4 linked regions of the Stegostoma tigrinum genome follow. The main gene of each other region encodes a partner of the protein of the gene in region 2 in a complex. Links are inferred from orthologs where the notes say so. Each region holds a gene or a part of one and is shown on either strand. Other genes may lie near its edges. The genes, in order: prpf6, prpf4, snrpd2 and prpf3.

Region 1 (6,858 bases), on a different chromosome or scaffold from region 2:
ATTATAAAAGTGGGGTGAGGAGGTTGAACTTTGTACAGGCACTGGTAGGACCAGATCTAGAAGTTTTGGCGTCCTTATTTAAGGAACGATGTAACCACATTAATAGCACAGCAGAAGTAGTCCAGCTGGTTGATTCTGGGATAAAGGAAGAGTCTTATGGTGAAAGATTGGCACGTACACATTGAACCTTAAGAATTAGAGCTGATCTCATTGAAAAAGAAACTGGAAATATTTTGCTTGAGTTATAGAGTGTTTGTGAGGCCACACTTGAAGTACTGTACACAGTTCGGATTTAAGAAAGGATGTACACGTTCAGCGAAGGTTCATTTGACAGCTGAATGGCGATTGGGGATTAACTGTTTCTCATGAGAAAAGGTTGAGGCTTTACCTACTGGACACGAGAACAAATTACTGAAATGTACGAGATCCTGAGGGGACCTGATAGGGTGGACATTAAAAGGATATTTTATTTTTTAGGAGAGACTAGAACTAGGAACACAGTTTAAAACTAAAAAGGGTCTCATTTAAGACGTAGGAGGATTTTTTTTTAAAACGAGGGTTGCCTGCCTTTAGAATTATTTCAGAGAGCAGAGGATACAGGATGACTGACCACTTTTAGGGCCAAGATAGACAGATTCTTAATTAGGGAGTTAATTGTCATAAAGGTGGTGTGGATGTGGAGTTGAGCTCATGATCAAATTATTCAATGGCAAATGAAAAATTATTCAATGTTATAGGCATTAAAAGGCACAATCCTGCTCTTAATTCACGTGTATATGTACGTCCGATGAAAACATAAAAAATTTGAGGTAATGGTTCCTCTTGTTGTAGAGACTTGAATTAGGGGATATAGTTTAAAATACAATGTTGCCTACTTAAGAATGAGAATTTTCATTTTTCTTGGTAGGCCATTACTCCGTGCAATTCTCTTCCACAGAGAACAGTGGAAGCTGGATCATTGACAACATTCAAAATCAAGTTAAATACAATTTGATCGACAAAGGAATCAAGGGTTATATGGTAAACAAGAAAGTGGAAATGAAATTATCATCTGATGAACCATTGCCTTATTGAACATCAGAGCAGGTTTAAGGAGGCGAATGGCCTAGTCCTAAAACACCTCCCAGAATCAACTCTTATATTGGCTTATGTCAGGTAAGGAAACAACTGGATACAGCGACATTCACCACTTCTGGATTATAACATTAAATCCCACATATGGGGGACAGGTCAAATTGCTCAACATTACCTTGCAAACTTTAATAAGTTCATTAACGTTTGTTCAGGACTTGAGGGCATCTTGAAAAATATAGTGAAACAAATTCACCCAACATCTTTCAGACATCATCTGGGCTCAGGGTTTCGGTATCTGAAACTAATCCTCATTTAAGCTGCAATATGTTCCATTTTTTAACTGCTTGGTGGCTTCACAGCTTGCAGCTCCTTGTTGCAAAGTGCAGCCACAAGGAAATATAGGATAGGACGAGGTGTTGCTTTATCACACTGTTGAATATTGTGTTATTTTCTTTAAGAAGACAAACTACCCATCTGACATTTTTGCATAAATCAGGGTTTTCAACAAGAGGTTGGTTCTGGGATAGCAGGACTGACGTATGAGGACAGATTAACTAGGTTAGGATTGTTTGCCGTGGAGTTCAGGCAAAGTTGGGGGGGGGGTGGTGTCTCATAGAGACATAAAATCACAACAACACTAGACAAGAGTTGATGCAGGGAGGATGTTCCCAATGGTGACTGTGTACAGAACCAGGGATCACAGTCTGAGGATTCATGGTAGGCCATTTAGGGCAGAGATGAGGAGACATTTTTTCACACAGAGTGATGATCCTGTGGGATTCATTACCACAGGAAGTAATTGATGCCAGAACATTGAATGTATTCAAAAGGTAGCTAGATAGAACAAACAAAAACAGAAGAGATAGTGGGGACTGTCGACGCTGGAGAGTCTGAGGTAACAAGGTGTAGAGCTAGATGAATACAGCAGGTCAAGCAGCATCAGAGGAGCAGAAAAGCTGACGTTTCGGATCTAGACCCTTCTACAGAAAACTGAAACGTCAGCTTTCCTGCTCCTCTGATGCAAAGTGGCCTGCTGTATTCATCCAGCTCTACACCTTGTTATCTCAAACAAAATCAGAAATTGCTGGAAAAGCTCAGCAGGTCTGGTAGGATCTGTGAAGAAAAAAAATCAGAGTTAATGTTTTGAGTCCGGTGGAACTCAGAATGGTCATCGGACCCGAAACGTGAACTCTCATTTTTTTCCTTCACAGATGCTGCCAGATCTGCTAAGCTTTTCCAGCAACTCCAAGATAGAAAGAACTGCCAATGCTGGAGTCAGAGATAACACTGTGTGGAGGTGATGTTTCCTGCTTTGCTGCTCCACTGATGCTGCCGGGCCTGCTGTGTTCCTCCAGCTCCACAGTTATCTTTCCCAGCATCTCATCAGTTTTTCTTCCTCATTTACAGCATCCGCAGTTCTCTGGGTTTTTATTTGGCTAGATATAGCACTTGGGGCGAATTGGATCAAAGTTTATGGGGAGAAAGCAGGATTAGGCTATTGCGTTGGACGATCATCCACGATCGTGAAGGATGGCAAAGCAGGCTCGAAGGGCCTCCTTCTGCTCCTATGTTTATATAAAATTTAAATGGTAGCAGAATTGAACTAGTATATATAAGAAACAAAACAGACTCTAAGGTACCGTTTCAGGGCCTGTGTGAACAGTTACGGCGATCAGCCTCAATCCTTAAATTAGGCACCTTGGTGCGTCGCGGTTGGCGTGTTTACTTACAGGCAGCACCACGGAGGAAAAGCAGAAGATGCAGAATTAAACTCACCCTCTGCCCAAACCCGGCACGTAACCGAGAGGCGCAGGCATGCCCAGAAACGGCTTCTTTTTCTTGTTAAGGGTCCCGGTGAGGGTTGGACCCCCCGAGCTCACCCCACTCGGTGCAGCAGCTGTACCAGTGCCAGGAGCAACCGAAGATGCTGCTACCGCCGCCGCCATCTTGCAAGCAGGAATTAGTCCCATAAGCCTTTACGGCAGGAGCGCGGCAGGAGCACGTGATCATCTTATTAACATATCGGGACTCCTCGTTTACGTCTTATTTACATACCTGAGCAGCTCTCTGACATTGGACCTGGAAGACAGCAGCAAATGCAGCTACCAGATTATTGCAGTGACCAACTCCTTGAAATATTGGCCTCCAAACTGAGTTTTCCCAACTCAAACCAATCACCATGAAGCAACTAGGATAGCTTCTCACCAGAGGAAAAGCAATAAATTTAAAAACTGAAGAGTGAAACTCAGAGAAGTACTGATTGCATGTAGAAACCATGTCTGAAGTCTTTCAGCTGAAGGGAGGTAATTCAGTTGTCAGACTCTCAAAAAGATGTGAATACCAGTTTTGTGTAACAGAGGTTGTTTAGGGATAGAGTCAAAGTTTAATGTTTTGTTTGGAGATAACAAGAACTGTAGATGCTGGAGTCAGACGCAACACAAAGTTAAAACTGAAATGAGATGACATTTCTTCAGCCAGAGTGGTGGGCTTGTGAAATTCATTGTCACGGAGTGCAGTGGAGGCTGGGATGCTGGATGCCTTCAAGGCAGAGATCGACAAATTCTTGATCTCAGAAGGAATCAAGGGCTATGGGGAGAGTGCAGGGAAGTGGAGTTGAAATGCCCATCAGCCATGATTTAAATGGTGGGGTGGACTTGGTGGGCCGAATGGCCTTACTTCCACTCCTATGTCTTATGGTCTAATTTGGAGCTGGAGGAACACTGCAGGCCAGGCAGCATCAGAGGAACAGGAAAGTTGACATTTAGGGTCAGGACCCTTCTTCAGAAAGTATTTTGTTTGATTAGATTAGATTGCTTGCTTGATATGCAACTGTGCAGAACCAAACTACTTTTATGAATATTTTTGAAATAAAAACAAGATAGCATACAACAGTAAGTTTCTGTCAGGCAGCAAGTCAGAATCCACGGGGAAGGTGTCATCACCCTCATCTCAAAGTCGAAGGGAGGATGGGTAGAAATTAGATATTGGTAACCAGTCATGTCAGGATGACTCTGGGATCAGTGATTCACCCGGACAAAACTTGTGCTATACTGGGCAGGACAATTTCTGACAGCCTCATGCTCCTCAGGCATATGATCACCTACAAGCAGAACAGGGGTCCTGCCTCATCAGCCCGGACCAGGAAAAGGACTTTGACACGATGCGGGATGTTCTCTCTAAATGGGCTTTGGGAAGAAAATCCGAATTGGATCTAATGGCTCTACACCAACATCAATACTGCAGACTCAAACAATCGGTGGGAATCAGAAAGTTTTCCAATCAGATCTAGAGTCAGTCAAGGCTGCTTGTTCTCTCCTGCCTTGTTTCTGTGTTGTAGAGAGCCTTTTGCCGTGTCCAGTGGTTAGTACTGCTGTTTCACAGCACCAGGGACCAGGGTTTAGTTCCACCCTTCGGCGACCGAATGGAGTTTGCATATTCTCCCTGTGTCTGCATAGGTTTCCTCTGGGTGCTCTGGTTTCCAACCACAGTCCAAAGATGTGCAGGTTAGGTCGATTGGCTATGCTAAATTGCCCATAGTGTCTAAGTAGAGTAGCCATGGGAAATTCATGGTTACAGGGATAGCATAGCTGGGTGAGTCATAGAGACAAAGAGCTGTACAGCATGGAAATAGACCCTTCAGTCCAACTTATCTATGCTGACCAGATGTCCTAAATTAATCTAGTCCCATTTGCTGGCATATCCTTCTAAACCCTTACTATTCGTATGGCCATCTAGATGCCTTTTAAATGCTGTAATTGTACCTGCCCCCACCACTTCTTCTTGCAGCTTGTTCCACATGTGCATCACCCTCTGTGAGAAAGTTGCCCCTTAGGTACTTTTTAAATCTTTCTGCTCTCACTTTAAACCTATGCCGCCTAGTTTTGGACCCCCATCCCAGGGAAAAGACCTTGCCTATTCACCCAATCCATGCTACAAATGATTTTTAAAACTCTATTAGGTCACTCCTCAGCCTCCAACGCTCCAGGGAAAATAGTCTCAATCTATTCAGCAAATCTCAATAGTTCAAACACTCCAACCTGTGCAACATCCTAAGGAATCTTTACTGAACCTGTTCAAGTTTCACAGCATCCTTCCTATAACAGGAGGAACAGAACTGAATGCAGTATTCCAAAAGTGGCCTAAGCAATGTCCTGTATAGCTGCAGCATGTCCACCCAGCTCCTATATTCAATGCATTGACTAATAAAGACAAGCATACCAGATGCCTTCTTCATTATCTTGTCTACCTGTTACTTTACTTTCAAGGAACAATGAACCTGCACTCTAAGGTCTCTTTGTTCAACAACTCTCCCCAGGGCCTCATTATTAAGCCTTGCCCTGATTTGCCTTTCCAAAATGCAACTTTTATCTCAATTAAACTCAATCTGCCACTCCTTGGCCTGTTGGCTCATCTTATCAAGGCTCTTTGTACTCTGGCATAATCTTCTTCGCTGTTGGCTACACTAAATTTTGATGTCATCTGCAAACTTACAAACCATACTTTCTATGTCCACATCCAAATCATTTATATAATCAACATAAAGTGATGGAAACATCACTGATCCTTGTGGCACACAGCTGGTCACAGGTGTCCAATCTGAAAAGCAACCCTCCACCACCACTCTCTGTCTCCTACCTTCAAGGTGCTTTTGTATCCAAAAGGCTAGTTGTCCCTGTATTCAATGTGATCTAACCTTTCCAACCAGCCTACCATGAGGAACCTTGTCAAACACCTACTGAAGTCCGCTCTGCGTTCATCAATCCTCTTTGTTACTTCTTCAAAAAACTCAGTCAAGTTCATGAGACATGATTTCCCAAACACAAAGCCATTTGACTATCCCTAATCAGTCCTTGCCTTTCCAAGTCCATGGAAATCCTGTCCTCATAATCCCTTCCAATGACTTGCCCACCGTTGATGTCAGTATCACCACTTTATAGTTCCCTGGCTCTTCCTTATCACCTTCTTTAAATGGTGGCACCATGTTAGCCAACCTCCAGTCTTCTGGCACCTCACCTGTGGCTATTGATGGTACAAATATCTCAGCTTAGGCCCAGCAAACACTTACCTAGCTTTCCACAGAGGTTTTGAGTATGCTTGATCAGGTCCCAGGGATTTATCTACCTTTTTACATTTTAAGACATCCAGCACTTTCTCCTCAGTAACATGGACATTTTTCAAGATATCACGTTTTATTTCCCCAAGTTCCCTACCTTTTTTGTCATGTCCTTCACCACAGTAAACCCTGATGCAAAACACACTGTTTCTTCAATTGCTACTGTTCAGAACCAAATTGCTTCAGTGACTATAAATGTGTATAAAGGTATTTTCTGAATATTATATTTGAAACAAAAAAATGTAAAGTCAAATGTGGATCCATTCAGTTATGGGTCCTCCTGGTGCATCAAACGTATATAAATTGTATTTGCAAAAGTAAGAAATGCCTTTGGCCTTTTTGAAACTGTCAGGAGAGTCAAACCTCCAATGTTTGTTTGTTCTCAATATGCTGAGATTATACAGAATCGAACTGCTCCAGGAACTACATATGTATAAAAAGATTTTTATGAATAAAGTATATTTTTGAAAGACAAAAGAAGATATGTAAAGACTGTACAGAACTACTTTAGGCCTCTATTTAACTTTGGCAGAAAGGTCTTAGATGGTGGTCTTTCCCCACTGTGCCTTGGCAGCAGCTGCTCTAAGCTTCAGTGCATGCCTCAGCATGTAATCCTGACCGTTGTAACATACCAGTCTATAACACACAGTTGGAGTCAACTCCTTGCTCTG
Region 2 (7,712 bases):
GAATAGTTTACCAGTGGTAGTCGTGGAAGCAGAGTCATTAGTGACATTTAAGCGACTGCCGGACATGCACATGGACAGCAGTGAATTGAGGGGAATGTAGGTTATGTCATTTTAATTTTGGATTAGGAATATTCCACGGCACAACATCGTGGGCCGAACGGCCTGTACTGTGCAGTACTTTTCTATGTTCTGTGTTCTATCAGACATGATCTCTCAGAGCGTGGAACAAGCTCAAGGTCCTGAATTGCCTACTCCTATACCTGTGTTTATAAAAGTACACTGGCTGCTTAAACACTGGTTTTTATGGAGGCTGTGGATATCGGATTCTATTTCTTCAATATTTTAAGCAGATACTGTGCAATAAGACTCCTGAAAATGGTATACCCAGAGAATGTTACGTAGACAATGGTTCACAACGGGATACAAAATGTGACAGAGTGGTTCTGAACTGACCTTGCTGGTTTGAAACAAATGCTAGAGGCGAAAAAAAGACTTCTAAACTTAAGTGGATGGATGTAAATCATCAACTGTTTCAGAAAACGAAATGCATGTGCAAAGAAATTGTTAGCAGTCTCAGAGAATGTGGGATTTTGAAATGCAAAGCTTTGCTGTGTATTTTTTGATTTCAGCCATTCGCACGTTGTGTAGGGTAAGGGATTAATACTGTCAATAATTGTTGTCACATACGCAACTTCACACAGATAAGAGATCTATAAAATGCTCTCAACATTTGCTTTGAACAGCCTGAATATTTTCAATGCAATTTCTTTTGAAAATCTGTTAACTGTACATTCATTATTTGCAGGTATTGGGCATTAACTTGGACTTCCTTGCATCCCCACTGAAGAGTCAACATACAGCATATTTCTACGGTATCCAGAAAATCATTTAACCTTATAAGATCAGACTATCAGGCCATCGTCACTTAGCTATTTGTGTGAACTTGTTGCACATAAATTTCTTAATTACAACTGTTGCCATTTCCAGAAGTGTTTCAAACGTTATAGACTTTCTGCACTTTTGCATCCAAAATAAAGCCCAATTCATCTAAAATTGTTACTTATTGCTATTGTTCCCAACCAGCTTTCTAAAATTTCTCAGCAATCTTTTCAGCAGCTCCACATTTTTTGACTCAATCAGATGGAGTAATTATTCAATGACACAGTTAAAGAAACTGAAGCATCATCACTTACTGCTGGATATATTAATATGTCCAGCTTCTACCCCAGCTTTCACAGCTTCTTTCCCCAGGTATCCTGCATCTCCTTTGGAAATCCTCTCTTTCTCCTTCTCTTCAAGGCTTCCATAATAAATCCGAGATTTCTTAGGCAACGGAACATCATCATCATCAGACATTCTTGTAATATGGGGCAGGAAACTGTGGGTGTAGAAAATGCATAAAATTAACAAACCGTTTTGACCAGAGATAAGAGATGAGAAAGACAGGTTGTTTGACTCTAGCTCTAATCTCCAAGTACATGCATCTGCATGCTTAAATTGGGGTGTTGCTCATAGGAATTCTGGTTTTTGATGCCTTGGGAAAGAAGTTGGAACAGGAAGAACTGAACGAGTGTTGATTTCTAGCCCAGGAGAGAGAATCTTTGGATCATGCTTTTGGAGCTTCACAGGAACAAGCAGGAAATGAGAGAGAATCAAAGACAACAGAAGCATCCATGGAATAAAATCAAGAAAGGCTCTGGCAGATGAGAAAAAGGATCACAGAAAATTTGGAACTGTCTCCCCAAATCAAAAGCAATGCACCTTAGGGCAATTTGAGCTATTGAATTAATAAGATCATTATATTGTCAAAGTACCAAGAAAAGTTGAGCAAAGGTAGATCTTGGAGTTGAGGTACAGATTAGCCATAGCATGTCTGAATACATTGATTAAAAAATATCTAAATGAATAGTAAGTGCAATAGGGCTCAAAGGAGTGAATGATCTACTTCTATTCCTAACTACAGATAACAAACAAGTATCAGATGATCTCTTATAAAAAAGTGTGAAGCTGGATGAACACAGTGTGTTCATCCAGCTTCACACTTTGTTATCTTGGATTCTCCAGCATCTGCAGTTTCCATTATCACTCATCAGATGATCTCTTGTTCCTTACAGCAGAAGATGGAAATGTGAAATTATCCACTTTGGTCTGAGTGGCAAAGCTGAACATATTTCAAAAGTAAAAGCAGATGTTGACATTAAGGTGAACTTGAGGGTCATCATACCCATCTTATAAAAGATTAATTTGTAGGTATATTATAGATATTTTGCTTGGGTTTTTAAATGTTATTTGAATATTGAAAGACTAACATTTCCAAATTTGTCAATGATACCAAACTTAGAAACAGTACTAAAGATAACAATGTTACCAATTGCACAGGGTAGCACTGTCTCTCAGCGCCAGGGTCCCGAGTTTGTGGAGATTGCACGTTCTCCCTGTGTCTACACGGGTTTCTTCCGGGTGTTCTGGCTGCCTCCTACTCCAAAGAGGTGTAGGGTGGGTGGGTGCTAAATTGCCCATCAGGGATGTTCCGGTTAGGTGGGTTAGCCATGGGAGATGGGGATGATACGGGAGGGATGCTCGGTGTGGACTCGATGGGCCGAATGCTGGCACACGGTACGAATTCTATGATTCTAACTACCAGTCGGAGAATTGTAGGCCGGCAGATTGGGATTTAACAAGCGATTCATTTTGGAAGAACGGTTTGGGAGAAGGAAATAGATACTTAATGACTCAGTGCTAAAGAGCGCGCAGAGAGACGGGGAGGGGAGAGGACTTGGTGCCAACGTGCACTAAACTCTTCAGGTGGCAGCATACACAGGGCGTGATTAACCAAGCACATGGGAGTTATGAACTCCCTAAATAGAAATGTTGATGGAAAAAGCAGGGGATTTACGGTGAAGTTGAATAAAGTTATGAGCCACAAGTAGAGCATTGTGTGTGATTTCTGATACAGTACAGCCTCCCCTCCCCCACAAGCAGCCACAATGACCGACTTCTCCCCAACCTGACAATATAAAGGCCCGGTTAAGGACGGGGAGTTGACGGCAATAGCCAAGGCCTAGCTTTAGGCTATCTCCTGTCTCTATCTCTCCTTCCCCCAGCCTCAGCGCGGCCTCTTACCAGCTCCTATACCGTCGTTAAGCCGACACTGACTGCGTCCGGGGCAAAGGGTAAGGAGGCGGCGCACAGGCTGCTGGGTGTTGTAGTCATTTCCACGCCGCCGGCTCAGAAACTACATGTCCCAGTGTGCCATGCCGTGGTGACGCCAGGTGTCGCCTGTAAGGTCTGAAGCGACCAAGTTGGACGTGACTTCTAGCGGCAGAATGTTGCGGAGGAAGCCTACTCGGCTCGAACTGAAGCTGGACGATATTGAGGAGTTTGAGAGTATGAAGAAGGAGTTGGAGGTGAGTGTCAAGGTGACAGGAGTTTGGCCAGGGCTGGCGCCAGGTTCGCTCCGACAGAACCTCAGCGGGGCCTAGGCCTGGGCCTGGGCCTCACCGTCCGCCTCCAGAGCCAGACCCACCATCGCCTGGACACGGCACCGACAAAGGGACCTGGAAATCACTTCAGTCAGGCGGCAGGAGACCCGAACCACACCACCACCAACCCCCCCCTCCCCACCACCAACCCCCCCCCCACCACCACCACACACACCACATTCCCCCACCCCCCAACACATACCCCACACCCCCACACCCCACATGCACCCCTGCCACTTGCACACCCCCTGCACTTACTCCCACCACCCCCACCCTGGCACAGGCACTCACACCCAGTGCCCACCCCCCCCATACTGCTGCCACTTGCTCGCACCCCCATCCCCTGCACACGCTTTATATCCTTCCTAGAGCATCTATACATTGGAGCATTAAGCATCCTGCCCTGTCCATCCCTGAGCCACGTCTCTATAGTTGCTATGATATCCCAGTCCCATGTTCCCAACCATGCCCTCAGTTCATCTGCGTTATCTGTTAGGCCTCCTGCATTGAAATAAATGCAGTTTAATTCATCCGTAATAGCTCGTTTTCTGCTTTGTTCCTGACTGTCTGACCTGTTCCTTTTCCCATCTCTACCAGTTTTGGGGACTGTCCTCTTTTCTCACTATCTCCCTAGGAAATCTAGCAAATCTCCCCAGCAGAGTATTAGGCCCTTTCCAATTCAGCTGCAATCCATCCTTATGCAGGTCACTTGTACCCTAGAAGAGATTCCAGTGATCCAAAATTGTGGATCCTCTCCATCACCAGCTCCTCAGCCATACATTTATCTGCTGTATCCTTCTATTCCTATCCTCACTAGCTCATGGCACTGGAAGTATTCCAGATATTACTACCCTGAAGATAACAAAGTGCGGAGCTGGATGAACACAGCAGGCCAAGCAGCATCTCAGGAGCACAAAAGCTGACATTTTGGGCCTAGACCCTTCATCAGAGAGGATGCTCTCTGATGGAGGGTCTAGGCCTGAAATGTCAGCTTTTGTGCTCCTGAGATGCTGCTTGGCCTGCTGTGTTCATCCAGCTCCGCACTTTGTTGTCTTGGATTCTCCAGCATCTGCAGTTCCCATTATCACATTACTACCCTGAAGAACCTTTTTTTTAAAAAATTCCTGCCTGTCCTCTTCAGAATGATTTAAAATTAGGGATATTGAAACTGTATTAGACGTGCAGTGATATTTTGGAGGTCTCAGAATTGGAAAAGGTTATGAACGTCAGGAGGGTCCAGGCTGTGGAGGGATTTGAAAACAATAATGAAGATTTTCTATAATAAAGGTATTGTTTAACTAGTAGTCTGTGTGGGTCAGCTAGTACAAGAGGGATTGGTGAATGCTGTACGTTAGACTGCAGGCATCAGAGACTTCAGTTACCTCAAATTCAGTGTTTAGAATGTGGGAGAGCAGCGAGGAATGCATTACAATAGTCAAGTCTGAAGATAACAAGCATGGATAGGGTTTCAGCGGCAGAAGAGCTGAAGTAGTAATGGAGTCAGACATTGCAACAGAGACGGCAGTAAAACCAAGTTGCTGCAAGAGTTCAAGATAACAAAGGGTGAAGCTGGATGAACACAGCAGGCCAAGCAGCATCTCAGGAGCACAATATCGCTGCTTCCATTTAATCTTGGGTGTCAGAGTAGCAAGAAGGCAAAGTCAAGACAGTGAAGGGTTCAAGTAAGGTAGTAGTGAGATAGATGTGAAACTGATTGCCAAGGGACAGTGTACAGTGAAAAATAGAAGGGGGCCAAAGATAGATCTCTGGGGGACATCTGAGATCACTGTAGGAATGGAAAGAAGTCATTGCCAATGGTTTCCCTGGCTATGATGCAATAAGAATGGGATCAGGCCAGTCTACTCTCACCCACTGGACAACAAAGGAAAGTAATTGGAGGAAGATGGCTACCATGTTGAAAGCCACAGCCAGGATGAAGAAAGATAGTTTACCTGTGGTGTGATCACAGAAGGTGTTGTTTGTGACTTGAATAAGAGCCATTGCAGTGTTGATTGGAAGGATTCAAGTTTTGGAAAAGATGGGCACAGATTTGAGATGCCACAAACACTTCAAAGGATTTTGGAATGGGGATGGTCAGAGATAGGGCAGCAGTTTGCAAGCAGCGGGAATTAAAGGTATTTTTTTGATGAGGGAAATATGATGGCACATTTGAAGGAGAGAGGGTCAGAACCAGAAGAGATAGAACCATTAGTGGTTTTAGTTAATGTGTGAGCAAGGAAGGAAAGTTGGTGGTCAGTAATATAGTGGGAATAGGGCTGTGGGAGTACAAGATGGCTCTTACGAACAAGATGAACTCTGGTGAGCAAAGAGAGGAGAGACATTACAAAGGAAATAAATTTTGGCTGAGAAAGGGAAACCATAGATTCCACAATCACTTTTGGTAAATGTTCCTGCACCATTAGGCTCTTAATGAATATCTGGTTCATTTATTAAACTAATATGGCCTGCCTGCTTGTTGGTTCTAGTGCATATTGTTGTAAAACAACTGCCCTGAACACACTGAAGAAATGTATTGATTTTCTAACATGAGTTTATTTGCTTTGTCCAAGCTAGGTGAGTAAATTACAGGGGACAACGATGCAAGGGGGATATAGACAAGTTGTGAGTAGGCAAACATTTGACAGTTGGAATATAATGTGGGAAAATGTGAGGCTACATGCTTGGGCAGGAAGAAAAGAATATTATTTGAATGAGGAAAGACTACAGAAAGCTGCAGCACAGAGCATTTTAGGAGTCCTCGTGCATGAATCATAAAAAAATTATCAAGTTCAGCTATTAATAGTGAATGCATATGGAATGTTAGCCTTTATTTCGGGGGAGTGAAATATAGAGGGAACTCGTTAAAACTATATAAGTACTAATCGGACCACACCTAGAATGCTGTGGAACAGTTTTAGTCCCCTTATCTAAGGAAAGATATACTGGCATTGGAGACAGTCTTAAGGAGGCTCACTCGGTTGATTCCAGGTATGGAAGGATGTTCTTCTGGGAAGATGTTGAGCACGTTGAGTCTGTACTCATTTGATTTGAGGAGAATGGAAGGTGACCAAATTGAAACATACAAGATACTTTGGAGGGGGGCTTGAGAGTGTAGATGTGGAAAGCATGTCTCCCCGTAGGGGAGAATCTAGGACCAGTGAGCATAATTTCAGAATAAGGGGTCACCCATTTAAGACAGGTGAGGATTGAGCTGATCTTTCGATTTTTTAGGAATGACTCGTGCTGTGAGTTCCAATGAGTGTACCATATTTGATTTTACACAATGTCCCCTAGTAATTGACCCTTCCACCCTGCAAACAACCCTTATACTTTCCACTCTATCCATGCCGTTCACAATCTTCTAAACTTCTCTATCAGGTCGTGACTCAGCCTCCTGCATTTTAGTGAAAACAAACCCAGTCTATCCAACCTTCCTTTATAGCTAAAATCCCCTATGCCAGGCAACATCCTAGTAAGCCTTTTCTGTACCCTCTCCAAAACATCCACATCCTTCTGGTGGTGTGGTGACCAGAACAGTATGCCTAACTGAAGTTCCATAAAGCTGCAGCATAACTTGTCTATTCTTATACTCAATGCCCCTTTTAATGAAGTCAAGCATCCCATAGGCCTTTTTTACTACCTTATCTACCCTTGCTGCCACCTTCAGTGATCTGTGGACCTGCACACCCAGATCTCTCACATTCAGGGTTCTGACATTCACTGTTTAATTTCTACCTGTATGTGACGTTCCAAATTCATTGCCTCACACTTGTCTGGATTAACCTCCATCTGCTATCTTTCTGCCTCTGCCTCCAACTGATCTATATCATGCTGTATCCTTTGACAATCCTCCTATCTGTAACTCTACCAATCTTTGTATCATCTCCAAACTTACTAATAAGACTAGCCACGTATTCCTCCATATCATTTATGTGGATCACAAATAGCAGAAGTCCTAACACTGATCCCTGTGGAACACCACCACTCACAGCCCTCCATTCTGAAAAGCGTCCTTCCACCACTACCTTCTGTCTCCCATCTTGCCAGCTCATCCCTGATATGTGACTTCACTTTTTGCATCAGTCAGCCATGAGTGACCTTGTCAAAGGCCTTCTGAAGTCCATGTAGACAACATCAGCTGCTTTTCCCTTTATTAAACATCTTCGCAAGCTCCTCAAAAAAACTCAGTTAACTCGGTGACACGTGACTTCCTCCACACAAAACCATGCT
Region 3 (7,722 bases), on a different chromosome or scaffold from region 2:
TATCCCTCTAAACCCTTCCTATCCATGTACCCATCCAGGTGCCTTTTAAATGCTGTAACTGTACCAGCCTCCTCCACTTCCTCTGGCAGCTCATTCCATACACACACCACCCTCTGTGTAAAATAGTTGCCCCTCAGGTCCCTTTTAAAGCTTTCCCCTCTCACCTTTAACCTGTGCCCTTTAGTTTCAGACTCCCCTATCCTGCGGAAAAGACCTTGACTATTCACCCTATCCATGCCCCTCATGATTTTCTAAATGTCAGCCCTCAACCACTGATGCTCCAGGGAAAATAGCCCCAAATTATTCAAACTCTCCCTGTAGCTCAAAGCCTCCGACTCCAGCAATATTCTTGTAAATCTTTTCTGAACCTTTTCAAGCCTTACACCATCCTTCCTATAGCACTGAGACCAGAAATGAATGCAGTATTCCAAAAGTGGCCTCACCAACGTCGTGTACAACCTCAACGTGACCCTCCCAACTCCTACACTCAATGCACTGACCAATAAAGGTAAGTGTAACAAATGCTTTCTTCACTATTCTGCCTTGATGCAATGTTTGTGTGATGATGTCATGATTTTAAAAGGTTATTTTTGTTCTTTATTTGAAGAGAGGCTGCAAGGCAGAGAGACCGAAACGGCTACTAAGGACAGCTTGAGTAAACAGCTTGTGAGGCCTTGGATTTTTTTTTTAAACAGACTGAATGGGTGTGGCTAGCTCTCATAGATCTACATTTCCAGGTTTTGATTTCTCATTTGCATAAGAAGCCTTTGGACTCTCAAATGAACTGGAAGCTTCAGTGAATGACTCCTAGCTGCTATTCTCTCTGAATTCTCTCTTGATGTTTTTCCTCCTGGATTGGAGAACTGCCTGTGAGAATCTGTATCTGAATTGTCTTTTTGCCAAGGGGGAGTGTTTATGAGTTGTTACTATATTGGTACAGTTAATTAGTAAGAGTTACTGCATCTGTTACTCGATTATGTTTTCCAATCGTTCGTTTGTTTGCGTTTTAACTACAGCGTTTAGATAAATCATGTTTTGTCTAATGTTGAGTAGTTTGACCAGTTGCTTTGTATCTGGAAAGTGACATTTCACATCTATCTTTAAGGTAAGAAAAATTTAGTGTCTAGGCTACCTTCTCAAAATATTTTGAGGTCGTGTGGTCTGGGCCATAAGATTTGTGATTGAAGTATTGCAGATCATGTTTTATATACGTTTGCTTCCTCTATAAATCGAGCATGGTCAACAGGGAAGCTTATCACCACAACCCCATCTATAAACAAAGTTCTGCACAGGTCTCATTGATGATGCAATGATTTGAGACACAACAGGACATAAGGGATGATAAAATGGACACTAGAAATGAGGAAACAGACATAAATCAGAAACAACTTTAAAGTGAAAAAAAACTTTAAACGAGGACTCCCCCTTGGAAGAATATGCTGATAGGATAAGGTGAAAAGAGGTGCAGCATGGACAGTTGGGCTGCAAGGCCTGTTACAGCAAAATATATACAAGAAGGGTTTGAACACTGACGCAAGTAGACTCATACAGCATTGAAATAGACTTTTTGGTTCAATCCATCCATGCCGACCAGATATCCCAGTCTGACCTAGTCCCTTTCGCCAGGGAGGTGATGGCTTAGTGGTATTGTCGCTGGACTGCTAATCCAGAGATCCCGATAACGTTCTGGGGACCCGGATTCGAATCCCACCATGTCAGATGGTGGAATTTGAATTCAATAAAATGTCTGGAATTAAGAATACCCTGATGATTGCTGGAAAACCCCATCTGCTAGACTAATGTCCTTTAGGGAAGGAACCTGCCATCCTTGCCTGGTCTGGCCTACATGTGACTCCAGACCCACTGCAATGTGGTTGACTCTTAACTGTCCTGTGGGTCAATTAGGGATGGCCAATAAATGCTGCCTAGTCAGCACTGCCCTCATCCTGTTAATGAATAAAGAGCATTTGGCCTATATCCCTCTAAACCCTTCCTATTGATGTCCCCATCCAGATGCCTTTTAAATGCTGTAACTGTACCAGCCTCCACCACTTCCTCTGGCAGCTCGTTCCAGACACACACCATCCCCTTTGCAGAAGCCTTCAACATGCCCCTGGTCATGAGCAGGGTGATAAACTCAGAGGGTGTGTGAGGGGGAGAACATATCTGTAGCAGATTTCCTGTGACCTGTAGCCAATATTATCTGCTTGTGAGGGACCTGGTTTCTAACTTTTTATATTTATGGGTTTAGACATTTCATTGGACTCTACTGTTCACACGACTTCAGGTCTACACCTTGTTCACTATCTTCTAACACAACTCTACCTTCTGAATTGTTCTATTGTACATGTCTAAACATCTCGCAGTCACACTCTGACATACAGCATAAAGTAACACTCACGATAATCGCTCCACCCTTTGTAACAGTGACGTTATTAGATCATTTGAATCTTTACTCCCTGATGTTCCATCTCCCCTGACGGTGTAGATTATGTGTAGTGGAGATACCTGTTCTTGTTTTTCCAAGTACCAAGCAAGAGATTGAGGGTTTGCAGGCTGCTTGAAAATGAGGAAACTATTAAGTTCAATTGAGCTTGCTCAGTACATGCACAAACACACATGTACTGCTCTTCCAGAAATACTCTCTTCCTCCCAGACAGGGCCCAACTAACTGAGTACATCGAGTCCTGCAACCTCTGTTGCTCATACACTATACAGCAGTGTGTCTTCCCACTGATTGTAGAGTCACACACTCATAACGTCATACAGCAAGGGAACAGACCTTTCGGTCCAACCAGTCCATGCCAGCCATAATCCCAAACTAAACACGTGCCACCTGCCCACTCCTGGCCCATATCCCTCCAAACCTTTCTCATTCATGTACTTATCCAACTGTCTTTAAATGTTGTAATTGTGCCCACATCCACCACTTCCTCTGGAGGTTCATCCCACACACGAGCCACCCTCTGTGGAAAAAAACTTATCCTTTATGTCTTTTTTTTTAAAATTTGGCTCCTTTCACCTTAAAAATGTACCTCCTAGTCTCAAAATCCTCATTCCTCGGGAAAAGACAACTGCCATTATTATACATACTATCTATACCCCTTAGCGTCCCACTTGATCAGGGTTAAAGGAAAAGAAACATATTGCATCTATATAGCTCCTCTCACAATCCCATGGAGAGCCAAAGGGCCTTCTGACAAAATAAGGAGCCTTGAAGCTGTTGTCAGCAGTCCCTCGATTTGGAGATGACGTCCAATCAGAATTGGGAGCTTCTACCATGGGTGCTCATGTGACTGAACAGGCCGGTTGTCCATCCTCACGTCTTTAAAGGATGACCCGTGAGGTCGGAGAATGCAGATTGCGAAGGATCTGCTTCCTTTCCTCCCCTCTCAACTGTCTCTCATACTGGCAGAAAGAGTGGCGCACCATCTTAAACGATGGGTAGCGAGCTCCTCTCTGTCATTGTCTTTACACTTCAAGGAAAGTGTCAGTGTCTTTATAGACTCCGCACTGATGCCATCATTTCTTTAGAAACAGTTCAGGGAGGATTCAACAGGATGAGATTGTCTTGTGAGCAAAGATTAAGCAGATAGGGGCTGTATACACTGGAGCTTAGAAGAATCAATGATGATCTTGTTGAGACATACAGCATTCTTAAGGAGCAAAAACAGAAGCTTCTGGAAAGGCTCAGCAGGTCTGACTGCATCTGTGAAGAAAAATAGTGTTTTCGGTCCATTGGCTCCTGAAGAAGGGTCCTGACTCAAAACATCAACTTTCCTGCTCTTTCTGATGCTGCCTGGCCTGCTGTGTTCCACCAGCTCCACACTGTGTTAACTTTGACTCCAGCATCTGCAACTCTTACTTTCTCTGAGACTCTGAAAGCCTGTGTCTTCAAATAACCCTGTTGAACTATAACCTGGTGTCATGTGATTTTTGACCTTGTCCACCCCAATCCAACACTGGCACCTCCACATCAGTGAGTTTTGAGAAGATTTGTAGCTCAGGTTCTATTTATAAATAGAAAGCGGGACATAACACCAGCGCTTTGTCGGAGGCTCACTGATGATGTTACCTAGAATGGTGACGAAATGTCTGAAAACGAACCTTCCAGCTCAGCGAGCAAACTCACATCCAGAACCTCCACATCAATTGTAGGCTGATGTGAGCAGGAATTTCTTCTCTCAGAGGGTTGTGAGTTTTTGGAATTCCTTACCCAGTGAGCTGTGGGGGCAGAGTCCTTGTGTATATTTAAGGCAGAGATAGATAGATTCTTGATCAATTGGGTAATCAAGAGATACAGGGAAAGGGAAGGAATGTGGATATGAGGAATGTCAGACTAGCCATGATCCTACTGATGGAGCAGGATTGAGGGGTTGAACTGTCTAATCCTGTTCCTATTTCCGATGGTTACCCAGATGACAGCACCCCATCTTTTGCCAGTCACTTTAAAGCATCAATTAAATCTTTTCAATACCAGACCTAGAATGGGTGTTCAATTTCATTAAATGGCAATGTCCCTTTAAAAACACCTGGCTGTTTGAAGTTGTCATTGCGGAGGCTAGTCGGAGCTGCTGGGGGTTGAAGTCCATATGCTCGCCTCCGCTTTGTTAAAGGGGCACTGACGAACTACAACACCCAGAATGCCCCCGGTTGTAGTCCCGAACGTTGCCTTTCGGACCGGATGAACGTGACGCGGAAACTGCATCTCCCGGCGATCATTGCGCCAGCAGGAAGTTAGTCAACCCCACTTCTGGTGTGAGGCGAAGCGCGGTCGGTTGCGGTTGAAGGAGTGAAGAAGAGGCGACTGGGGGGACATCTAGCACCATGTGAGTGAGAGGTGGAGGGTGATTGAGAGGGGAAGAGAGACAGGGGTAAAAGAGATGCTTCCCCTCTCATCACCCGCTCCTCTGCCGGTAACTCGGGCCCTTTCGCCGGCGTTGCTAAGGCCTGAGGCCTAGCCCGCGCGGGCCCGAAGCCTTTCCCCACCGAGGTGATGGTGGGCACAGATTCTCGGCTCCTACCCTTCCCTCCCATCGCTCAGGGCGGGAGGGGAAGGAGAGGGAGCAGTAGTTCCCAGATTCGCATTCCCTTTCCGCATCTATTACCCCATTTTACTGGTTCTTCAGATACCGGTTCTCACCCGCCGCCTCCCCCTTCCCTGTCCCTCTCCACTCTGACAAAGCTGTTCAGAATCCTTTGAGAAGGTAACAGGGCAAGTTAGACGAAGGTGAACCAGTCGATGTGATCTATTTGGATTTCCAGAAAGCCTGTGACAAAGTGTTGCACAAGAGGCTGCTAAATAAGAGCTCATGCTGTTAGGGGCAAGGTACTGGCATGGATAGAGGATTGGGCTGACTGGCAGAAAGGGTAAAAGGAGCAAATTACTGCAGATGCTGGAATCTGCACTGAAAATGACAAATGCTAGCGATCACAGTGCTCAGACAGCATCTGTGGAGAGAAAGCAAGCTAATGTTTTGCGCTTGCTCTCTCTCTATCCACAGATGCTTTCTGATCCACTGTGACCCTCAGCATTTATTGCTTTCAGTAGGGATAAGGGAACTTTTTCAGGATGGCCCTCCAAGTCTGTGCTGACATGTTGTGTCCTTCCATACTAAAGCTGCCTTTACTTACAGGATCTGTATCCCTCTACTCCCTTCCTAATCATGTATTTGTCCAGGTGCTTTTAGAAAGTTGCTTTTGTGTCTGCTTCTGCCATCATCTCTGACAGCGCATTCCACCCTTTGTGTGAAAAACTTGCTTGGCACATCTCTCTCAAACATCCACACGCTCACAGACATGCACCTTGAATCTGTGTCCCCTAGTAAATGACTCCTCCATCCTGGAAAAAAAATCCTCATCCTTTCCGCTTTATCCATGCCATTCACAATTTTATAAACTTCTGTCATGTTGAGCTTCCCTCCCGCCCCAACCATCTCCTGTGTTCCAGTGAAAACAAACCCAGTCTTTCTGACCTTTCTTGGCTAAAATCTTCCACACCAGGCAAACCTGGTAAATCTTTTCTGTACCCTCTCCAAAGCATCTACATCCTTCTGGCAGTGTGGTGACCAGAACTGTGTGCAATTTTCCAAGTGTGGCCTAACTAAAGTTCTATAGAGTGCAGCATAATGTACTCAACCTTATACTTAATGCCCCTGCCAAGGAAGGCAAGCATGCCATAAGCATTTTTTTGACGACCTTCTGTACCTGTGCCGCCACCTTCAGTGACCTGTGTACCTGCACGCCTCGATCCCTCTGCATAGCAATCCCGTCCAAAAGGGTTCTGCCATTCACTGTATAATTTCCATCTGTACTTGGTCTTCCAAAATGCATCACCTCACATTTTGCTGGACTAAACTCCATCTGCCATTTTTCTGCTCGTGACTCCAACCGACTTATATCCTGCTGTATCCTCTGACAATCCTCAGTTATCTACAACTCCACTAATCTTTATATTATCCACAAACTTAGTAATTAGACCAAACACATTTTTCCTCTAAATCATTTATGTAGATCATGAACAGCACATGTCCCAGTCGTTCTTTTAAGGCTAACATGCAGGTTCATTTGCCAGTTAAGAAGGCACATGCACTGTTATCAATCATTTCAAGAGGGCTAGAATGGAAAAGCAGAGCTGTATTGCTGAAGCTTCATCAGGCTTTGATTAACTGCATCTGGAATATTGTGAACAGTTTTTGGCCTGTATCTAAAGGAGTTCTAAGGTGGCCTTGAGCAGGTCCACTGAAGGTTTACACGAATGATCCCAGGGATGAAGGAATTGTTGTACGAGGAATGGTTGACGACTCTGGATTTGTACTTGACAGAGTTTAGAAGGATGAGGGGGGAGTTTGATTGAAACTTACAGAATGCTGAGAGGCCTGGATGAAGTGGATGTGGAGAAGATATTTCCTCTAGTAGCAGAGACTAGGATACAAGGGCACAGTGTCAGAGTGAATGGATGACCCTTAGAACTGAGATGAGGAGGAGCTTCTTCAGCCAGAAGCTGGTGAATCTGTGGGACTCATTGCCGCGGAGGGCTGTGGAGGCCAAGTCATTGAGTGTATTTAAGACAGAGAAAGATGGGTTGTTGATTGATAGGGGTATCGGGGTAATGGGCAGAAGGAAGGAAAATAATGTTTAGGAACGTATCAGCCACGTTTGAATGGCGGAGCATACACGATAGGCCGAATGCCCTAATTCAGCTCCTATATCCTGTGGCCTTATGGCTGTCACTGCCCCATCCCCATCCATCTTGCCTCACTGCTTCCTCCTAAATTTGTGCTTTCATCACCTTGTTCAAATTACTCAAATTAACTTACCTTATCCAAGCATTTCCTATACTGCTGTTAAGGTAGGGTATTTACACGGTTTCTTTACTGCAGTTGTTGGAACTAGATATCTAGTTCCAGAGTCCGATCCACTGGGTTTAATGTGGTCTGGCATGTTCATTAGCTATTTCTAATTGGGAACCTGATCAACTCATTTTCTTGAAGGCATACAGAGTCTAGCCCGTTCCCCTGACCCGCTAACATGCTCTTTAATGGCAAAATTTACATTTATATAGTGCCTTAATGTTGTAACTGACATACAGAATCTCTCATGAGCATTATAAAACATTGTGACAGTTGTTCAGTCAAATGACCATACATTTGGTCGAATCTTTAAGGGGCATCTGAAAGGGGGAATAGAAAGCCCTAGAGGCGAAGAGCTTTGGGAAGTGAA
Region 4 (7,373 bases), on a different chromosome or scaffold from region 2:
TCAGTGTTGAGGGAATGGGCACTGTCAGAGGGTCAGTGCTGAGGGAGCAGGCACTGAAGGAGGCTCAGTACTGAGGGAGCGGGCACTGTCGGAGGCTCAGTACTGAGGGAGCGGGCACTGTCGGAGGGTCAGTGCTGAGGGAGTGGGTACTGTCGGAGGCTCAGTGCTGAGGGAGCTGCACTGTTGGAGGGTCAGAGCTGAGGGAGTGCTGCACTATTGGAGGGTCAGCACTGAGGGAGCGGCACTGTTGGAGGGTCAGTGCCGAGGGAGCGGCACTGTTGGAGGGTCAGTGCTGAGGGAGCGGGCACTGTCAGAGGCTCAGTGCTGAGGGAGTTGTCACTGTCGGAGGGTCAGTGCTGACAGAACCTCGTGCCAGTCTGTTGTCTGGTTCCAGGACCTGGGGTGAGGGGGTGCTTTGCTGATGAGGCTGTCAAATCTCAACCTGGGTGCCGTGTGGTCAGGGTTCTGTGGGGACAGATCTCCTTGGCAGATTCAGACAGTCCCTCACCTCCATCCCAAGTAACCACATTCCACATTAACTAGGCCTCCCTCAAGTCTGGAAGAAATGGGAACGGGGTGGATGGGATGGATGATAGGGGAAAGGCAGGGGAGATAATGGGTGGGGGAAAGGGAGGGGGAAAAGAGATGTAGGAACTGGAGAGGCATTGAAGGGGAGGGGAGAGGCTAAAACTGACAGAGGGGGAAGTGGTGAAGGTGGAAGGGGGGCAGGATGGGGATTTTGGGGAGAAGGGATGGAGATGAGCAGCAGAAGGAATGGGGGGGTGCATGAGGAATGGGAAGGACGTTGGAAAGGTGAGGGGAAGGGTTGGAGAGGAGGGACAAGGTGGGGGTGAAAGGAAGGTGGGAGTGAGTTGAAATCGATGCAGCAGGATGGTGAAAGGTAGCAGGGAGTGTGGAAGTGAGTGGGGTGGCGGAATGGGAGAGGGATGGGGTAGGGAATGGGGATGGGGGTCTTAAAGGGGGGTGGAATGGGATAGAGGGGGTAAATGGATGAGGGATAGGGATAAAGAGGGAGGGTTTGGAGGTGCCCAAAGGGTGGGTGAAGCAAGAGAGGGTGGTATTCAGCCCCTCAGGCCTGTTATGCAGTGTCGTAAGAGTCTTTTCACTTTTCTGTATTTTTATTAGTGGACTGAAATGAGAGAAGAACTCTTTTAAAACCAAGGATTGCTGAAAGGCTACTGTTATGCTCTTTGAAAGCAAGCAACCTGACACTTATTGGAAGTGTTTCAGAGACAGAAGGAAGTGCCGATGCTGGAGAATCCGAGATAACAAGGTGCAGAGCTGGATGAACACCACAAGCCAATTAGCATCAGAGGAGCAGGAAAGCTGACATTTGGGTTTAGACCCTTCGGTCCTGACCCGAAATGTCAGCTTTCCTGCTCCTCTGATGCTGCTTGGTCTGCTGTCTTCGTCCAGCTCTACACCTTGTTTTCTCTCATTGGAAGTACTGTTTGCACAGCTGCTGGTTCAAACAGGAGGAGGAGAAGGTGCAGACACAGCACAGGCAATGGTGTATACAAATGGAGATACAGCTGGCCACAAGTCTGTCAACTAGTGTCCAGTTATCAATGACAAAGATCTGCGATTGGTTCTCAAGTAGCTGAACTGCTTGAGGTTGTGAACAAGACATGGTGAGAGGCCATCTGATCTCCACCAGCTCAGGAATTATTTTTGTTCTCTTTCAGCCTCCAGATAAATTCTTCTTCTTACCAGGGAGGCTTTTACACGTCTCTGAAAGTACTTTTTCTTTGATCTCCACCATCAAATCACCCATTAAACCAAAGAAAAAGTTTATTTATTAGATAGGATTCATTTCATAGAAACCCTACAGTGTGGAAGCAGGCCATTTGGCTCATCGAGGCCACACCAACCTTTTGAACAGCATCCAACCCAGACACAAACCCTGCCCTATCCCTGTAACCCTGCTTTTCCCATGGCTAATCCCTCTAAGCCTGCATATCCCTGGACACTATGGGCAACTTAGTGCGGCCAATCCACCCAGCCTGCACATCTTTGGCCTGTGGGAAGAAACCCACGCAGACACAGGAATAATGTGCAAACTCCATACAGCCCAAGGCTAGGTCCCTGGCGCTGTGAGGCAGCAGTGCTGATCACTGAATCACCGTACTGTCCTTCAGCAGTGCAGTATGCTGCGAATTTTAAGTAAAGAATCAGAGACCATCTTTAAGTGAACCAGCTTCCTTCAAATCAGTGAAAACCTCCAGTAAAGGAAGATTGAGAAACAGCGTTCTGATCAGCACAAGAACCATCCCAGCAGGTCCTGTGAACAGAGAGCACGAAACTGTTTTCTCAGTTTTCCTTCCATCCAAAACACTCATTTTTTCCCCCAAATTTGTGCTTAGAGGGGTTTATAAGTGGATTTAGAGTTTTAATTAGTAGTTAATTTTTATTCCTCTTTTGGTATCTAAGATTTAATAAAGTACCTTTATTACCTAAGATGGTGCCACAAGAGGCAACATTGAACACTTTTCACTGTTCTTCTATACTTTAGTACACATGACAATAAAATCTAATTCTATTTGTTGATGGTTCAAAATTGTTTACCTGTAGTTAGAGTCTATTTACTTCTAATATATAGTCATATTCTTGTTAAATATGGAAACCTGGTCTGTTCTTTCTGTCAACCTGGGAGTAAAGGTCAGGTAAATTGGAGAATTTGGCATATGTTTTAAAATCTTTAGCTTTTGTGATGACCCCAGAAGAGTGAGGCTTGATTTCTAGCATGCTACCCAGTGAGGTGTAACAACTGGAATAGGAAGAAGTCACTGAGATCCTCTGTTCTGACATTTAATGCGAACGTGACTGATCTGCATTTATTAACTTCATCCACATGCATCCATTTTCCTACATACACAAACAATTTCAAAATTTCAATGAAGCATTCTTAGGGCCCTTGGCGTGGTCATTAACTTTGCAATGGCACTTACTAAAAAGAGTGCAAATTCAGTAACTCAAATCTCTGATACTTTATTCCCACTGGATGAAAGATGGCCTAGTGGACTGTAAGGCTCATCTTCAGATACGTCAGTTGCAAATCCTGGGATTTTCGGTAAATGATGCAGCAGATGTGGAATCTACACAGGTGCAAGGAAAGAAACCAAATTGGGAAGAATCTGAAAATTCCAGCTTTGTCAGGGATGCTCTAGATCAGGTTCAGATTCCTGGTGAAATTCTGTTTTTTGGTAGGTGTGAGATTCCAGGAATTTTCAGATCTTCCAAATTCTTTCTCAAAAGGCTCACTGTAAACCCATTCGTGAATCTATTCAAGTTTGATGGAACTTCTTGAATCCTGGATTCAAACTTAGGAATCCTGATACACCTTCTCTGTGAGATTCTGGGGTAATTTTTGTTTTCAGGGTTGTCAAATTCCCCCACATCTGGGCATTTCCTTGCATGCCTGGACGTTTGTTTCACAGTTGCTAAATTTGCAGCAAAGCTCTGGAATTTTCTGGAATGATCCAGACCTTCCCTGCAACTGATCTTGTAGAGTTCTGGGTACTCGCTTGGAATTTTCAGGAGCCATTTGGTTGCAATCTTCTGGGACAATCTGGGGTACTCCTGGGGACGATTTGTGAAAATTTCCATAATGTTCTGACGCTTCCCTGGAACTGATCTTGTAAAGGTATTCCCCTGGAATATCCTGTAACAATCCAGGCCTTTCCCTGGAAATTATCTCCTTGAGTTTCAACGTTCCCCAGGAATATTCTGTATATTTCCCTGGAACTGATCTTTTGAGAATTCCCATCTTCCCCTGGAATAGTCAGGAACATTCTGGGGCCACGGAATATTCCAGAACTTTCTGTTGACTGTGTCCAGCCTGGTTCTACTCCGAATTCCGATTTATACATGGAGTTAGGTGTGTTGGAACTTTCCAGAACTCACCAGAGCATTCCTCTGGATCTGTATCTGAAATTATTTTACGGTACATTTCCATCCTTTCTCCAGGAATGCTTTTGTTTGGGGAGGGAGACTATTTTTCTGTTTCTTTCTGTTTGGAAAGGCTGGATCCCGCTCTGGAATGTTCTAGAACACGCTAGGCCTTTGCCCCTGTGATGTTCTAGTACAATTCTGGGACAATGTCCTTCTTACACCACCCCAGATTCCTCTGTTTTTTTCCAAAACATCGTGGCTGGGGTTTGTCGAAAACAACACACGTTCCCCCCAAACGGTCCTTTGTGATGTTCTAGAAGCGTCTGGAAAGTTCGGGGCAACCCTCTGGCGCCTTCCCGCGGTCAGGAGGACGAAGCGGAACCTTTCTTCTCCCGCCGCCCCCAGTCTTCCCCAAAACAGATGCATCGCGCCCAATCGGGGAGTGCATTCGTTGTTACACTCGGCCCCGGACGGTTTTGAGTGTGGCGCCAGCGGACTTCCGGTGAGGCCGGTGTGCTGTGCCGAAAAGGTACGAGGGAGCTGGCGGGGAGGGGAACGAAGGGGGAAGGTTGAGGAGGGGGGCACCGGCTTCCGGGTCCGGGAGGACGGTTGAGCCGGGGACACCGGTTTCCGGTTCCCGACCCCTTTTCTCTCACTCCCCGTCTGTTCGCGGGACAGTCGTCGCAGCGGGTGAGTGAGGCCTGAGGCCTGCGGCCTGCGCCTGTTGTGTCGGGGGGGGGGGGGGCAGTAGGCTTGGCGCGGGGTAGTATCCACCATCGCCATCCTCACATCATTAACAGCCTCAATGTGGCACTCGGACGAGGTCCTGGGGCCTTTGCCCTCCCATTACACCCCCCCCCACTCCATCCCCTAACCCCAACGCCCTCCCCTCCTCACTCCACTCCCCCTCCCCCCTCCCCACTCCACTCCACCCCCCCTCCTCCCCACTCCACTCCACCCCCCCTTCCCTCCCCATCCCCCTGGCCCACCCCACCTTCTAATCCCCCCCCCCCCCGACCGTGTGGTCCCCTATTACCACCACCACTACTCTCCCCGACCCCTCCAGCCCTTCCTCCTGCTCTCCCTCTCTTCATCCCCTTCTCCCCCCCACCCCCCACCCACCCCCCCACCCCCACCCCCACCCCCCCACCCCCACCCCCCCACCCCCACCCCCCCACCCCAACCCCCCCACCCCAACCCCCCCACCCCACCCCCACCCCCCCACCCCACCCCCACCCCCACCACCCCAACCACCCCCACCACCCCCACCCTGCTGCTCCCTCCAGACTTGAAGGAGGGGCTGGGTTAGTGTGGGATATGGCTAGATGGGGATGGTGGTGAAAGACTGTCTGAATCTACCGAAGAGATCTGCGCCCCATTGATCCCTCCACTCCAGGGCACCTGGAGGGGGTGGGGGTGACGGTGGTGATCTGGCACCCTCATCAGCAAAACACCGCACATGCACACGCGCGCACGCACACACACACACCCGTGAGTCAGACTGGCACCAACCACCGGTTCCCTCAGCACTGCTCCTCCGATAGTGCAACGCTCCCTCAGTGCTGATGCTCTGTCAATCACCTGCCAGGACCTGTATTATTCTTTGGTCCTGAGAGCTCCCAGTCGCAGGATGAAGATTATGGGTTCCAACCTAATTTTGAAATGAATTTCAGCATAGAATTCAACACCGTCCTTGTGACGAGAGAGCGGCCTGTTGCTGTAGAACATGAGAGATCCTGTTGTGCTGTCTACATTAAAATGTCAATTCCTGTGAGCTGACCCATCATTGTCCCTGATCAGAACTCCCATGTGCTAACCCTACTCCCAATCTCCCGCACAAGTGTCTTCACATATTCTGTCATTGACATTTGATGAGTGGTTCTACATTGGTGGTGGAGTAAAGGTGGTTGACCAGCTGGCTTTCAGTAAACACTGACGGCCAGTGACCCTGACTAACTGCTCCCTCCTGCCCTCTTGTAGCCATGACGTAATTGGCCAGAAGCTCTTCCAGGCACAAGACGAATTGATGAAAACCAAGTTTGATTAATGCCTACCTCCCACCATGCATTCACAATCATTTCGTTGATCAACCAGTTGTGGAATCATTCAGGCTGGTTTTTGATCTTGTATTATACAGGGTTAACTAATAACTTTATAGGGTATCTGAGGAAGAGTGATCGTAACATGGTCATGACACTGGGAATAATTTTGTTAAGTCATAACCTAGGGTCTGAAGAGGGTTATTGGACTCACACGTTAATGACATTTTCTGCCCATAGATGTTGCTAGCCCTGCTGAGTTTCTGTTAATTTCTACATTTGAATTAGGCTCTTAAGTCTGAGCAAGGTGAACGGTGTACAAAGGCAAATTTGACCTCAACAGATTGGAACAAAATCATGATCCAAAATCAAAATGTTGCAGATGTGGGAAATCACTGATAAAAACAGAAAATACTAGAAGCTCTCAGTAGGCACGTTGGCATTCGAAGGAAACTGTTACAAAATCCATGATGTATTAAAAGATATTTAAATTTTATATATAATTTGTGGTAAATACATTTTAGAACATAGAACAGTACAGCACAGGAATGGGCCCTTCAGCCCACAACGTTCTTCCGAACATGACTGCAAATTAAATTCACTCTTTCTGTCTGCTCGTTGTCCATATCGCGCTCCCCCCCCCATTCCTTGCATATTCATGTGCTTATTTAAAAGTCCTTTAGATGGCCCTATTGTATTTGCCTCCACCACCCCAGCAGCATGTTCTAAACTACTAGCGCTGTCTGTGTCTAAAAAAAATGCCCCTCACACCTCCTTTGAACTTCTCATTTGCATCTTAAATACATGCCCCCTAGTTTTCATCACTTCAAATCTGGGGAAAAAGATTCTGCCTGTCAACCCTATCTATGCATCTCATAATTTAAAAGACTTCTATCAAGTCTGCCCTTGCTCTCTGGAGCAGTGGAAATTAATCTGAGTTTTTCTAGCCTCTCCTTATAGCTCATATCCTCTCATCCAGCTAGCATCCAGGTAAACCTCTTCATAGCCTCCACATCCTTCCTGTAATGTGGAATAACTACCAAACAGGATAAGCAGTCAAACCACATGATGTTATAAGGTTTGGTACAGATTAAATGACGTGTATCAAGTTGAGAATTGGGAGGACTTTAGAATTCAGCAAAAAATGACAAAAATAATTGATGGAGGAGATTGCATGTGTAATTGTAGAAAAATGAAAAGAGCCTTCTGTAAATATATAAAATGGAACCAGCTGTTGAAAGTAAACGTGGGGAACAAGGAAACAGCAGCGACATCAAGCACAGGTTTTGTGTCTGTCAGCCATGGCAAGTGGAAAGAGTCTGACCCCTGACTTGGGAGGCTGGGATCAAGTTCCCTTCTCCTCTCCAATGTGAGCACAAATACGCTGCAGTGTGTTCACCAGTAGGCTGAGTAAAAAAAGTG

The links.
Region 1: prpf4 (region 2) and prpf6 share a complex: the UniProt entries of both Homo sapiens proteins name them as parts of the U4/U6-U5 tri-snRNP complex. The link is inferred for Stegostoma tigrinum from reciprocal best matches to the Homo sapiens genes PRPF4 and PRPF6.
Region 3: prpf4 (region 2) and snrpd2 share a complex: the UniProt entries of both Homo sapiens proteins name them as parts of the U4/U6-U5 tri-snRNP complex. The link is inferred for Stegostoma tigrinum from reciprocal best matches to the Homo sapiens genes PRPF4 and SNRPD2.
Region 4: prpf4 (region 2) and prpf3 share a complex: the UniProt entries of both Homo sapiens proteins name them as parts of the precatalytic spliceosome. The link is inferred for Stegostoma tigrinum from reciprocal best matches to the Homo sapiens genes PRPF4 and PRPF3.

Annotation. Positions count from the first base shown.
Region 1 is NC_081372.1:31,363,168-31,370,025, reverse strand, and holds the start of prpf6 (pre-mRNA-processing factor 6), read right to left. Parts: upstream 3,021-6,858; coding exon 2,851-3,020; intron 1-2,850. UniProt on the Homo sapiens protein: Involved in pre-mRNA splicing as component of the U4/U6-U5 tri-snRNP complex, one of the building blocks of the spliceosome.
Region 2 is NC_081382.1:5,538,325-5,546,036, forward strand, and holds the start of prpf4 (U4/U6 small nuclear ribonucleoprotein Prp4), read right to left. Parts: upstream 3,021-7,712; 5' UTR 2,521-3,020; coding exon 2,369-2,520; intron 1,379-2,368; coding exon 1,194-1,378; intron 1-1,193. Other genes in the region: anaphase-promoting complex subunit CDC26, read left to right, coding at 3,327-3,407. UniProt on the Homo sapiens protein: Plays a role in pre-mRNA splicing as component of the U4/U6-U5 tri-snRNP complex that is involved in spliceosome assembly, and as component of the precatalytic spliceosome (spliceosome B complex).
Region 3 is NC_081392.1:12,359,315-12,367,036, reverse strand, and holds the start of snrpd2 (small nuclear ribonucleoprotein Sm D2), read left to right. Parts: upstream 1-4,714; 5' UTR 4,715-4,827; coding exon 4,828-4,829; intron 4,830-7,722. UniProt on the Homo sapiens protein: Plays a role in pre-mRNA splicing as a core component of the spliceosomal U1, U2, U4 and U5 small nuclear ribonucleoproteins (snRNPs), the building blocks of the spliceosome.
Region 4 is NC_081400.1:2,579,756-2,587,128, forward strand, and holds the start of prpf3 (U4/U6 small nuclear ribonucleoprotein Prp3), read left to right. Parts: upstream 1-4,369; 5' UTR 4,370-4,441; intron 4,442-4,496; exon of another isoform or gene 4,497-4,602; intron 4,603-7,373. UniProt on the Homo sapiens protein: Plays a role in pre-mRNA splicing as component of the U4/U6-U5 tri-snRNP complex that is involved in spliceosome assembly, and as component of the precatalytic spliceosome (spliceosome B complex).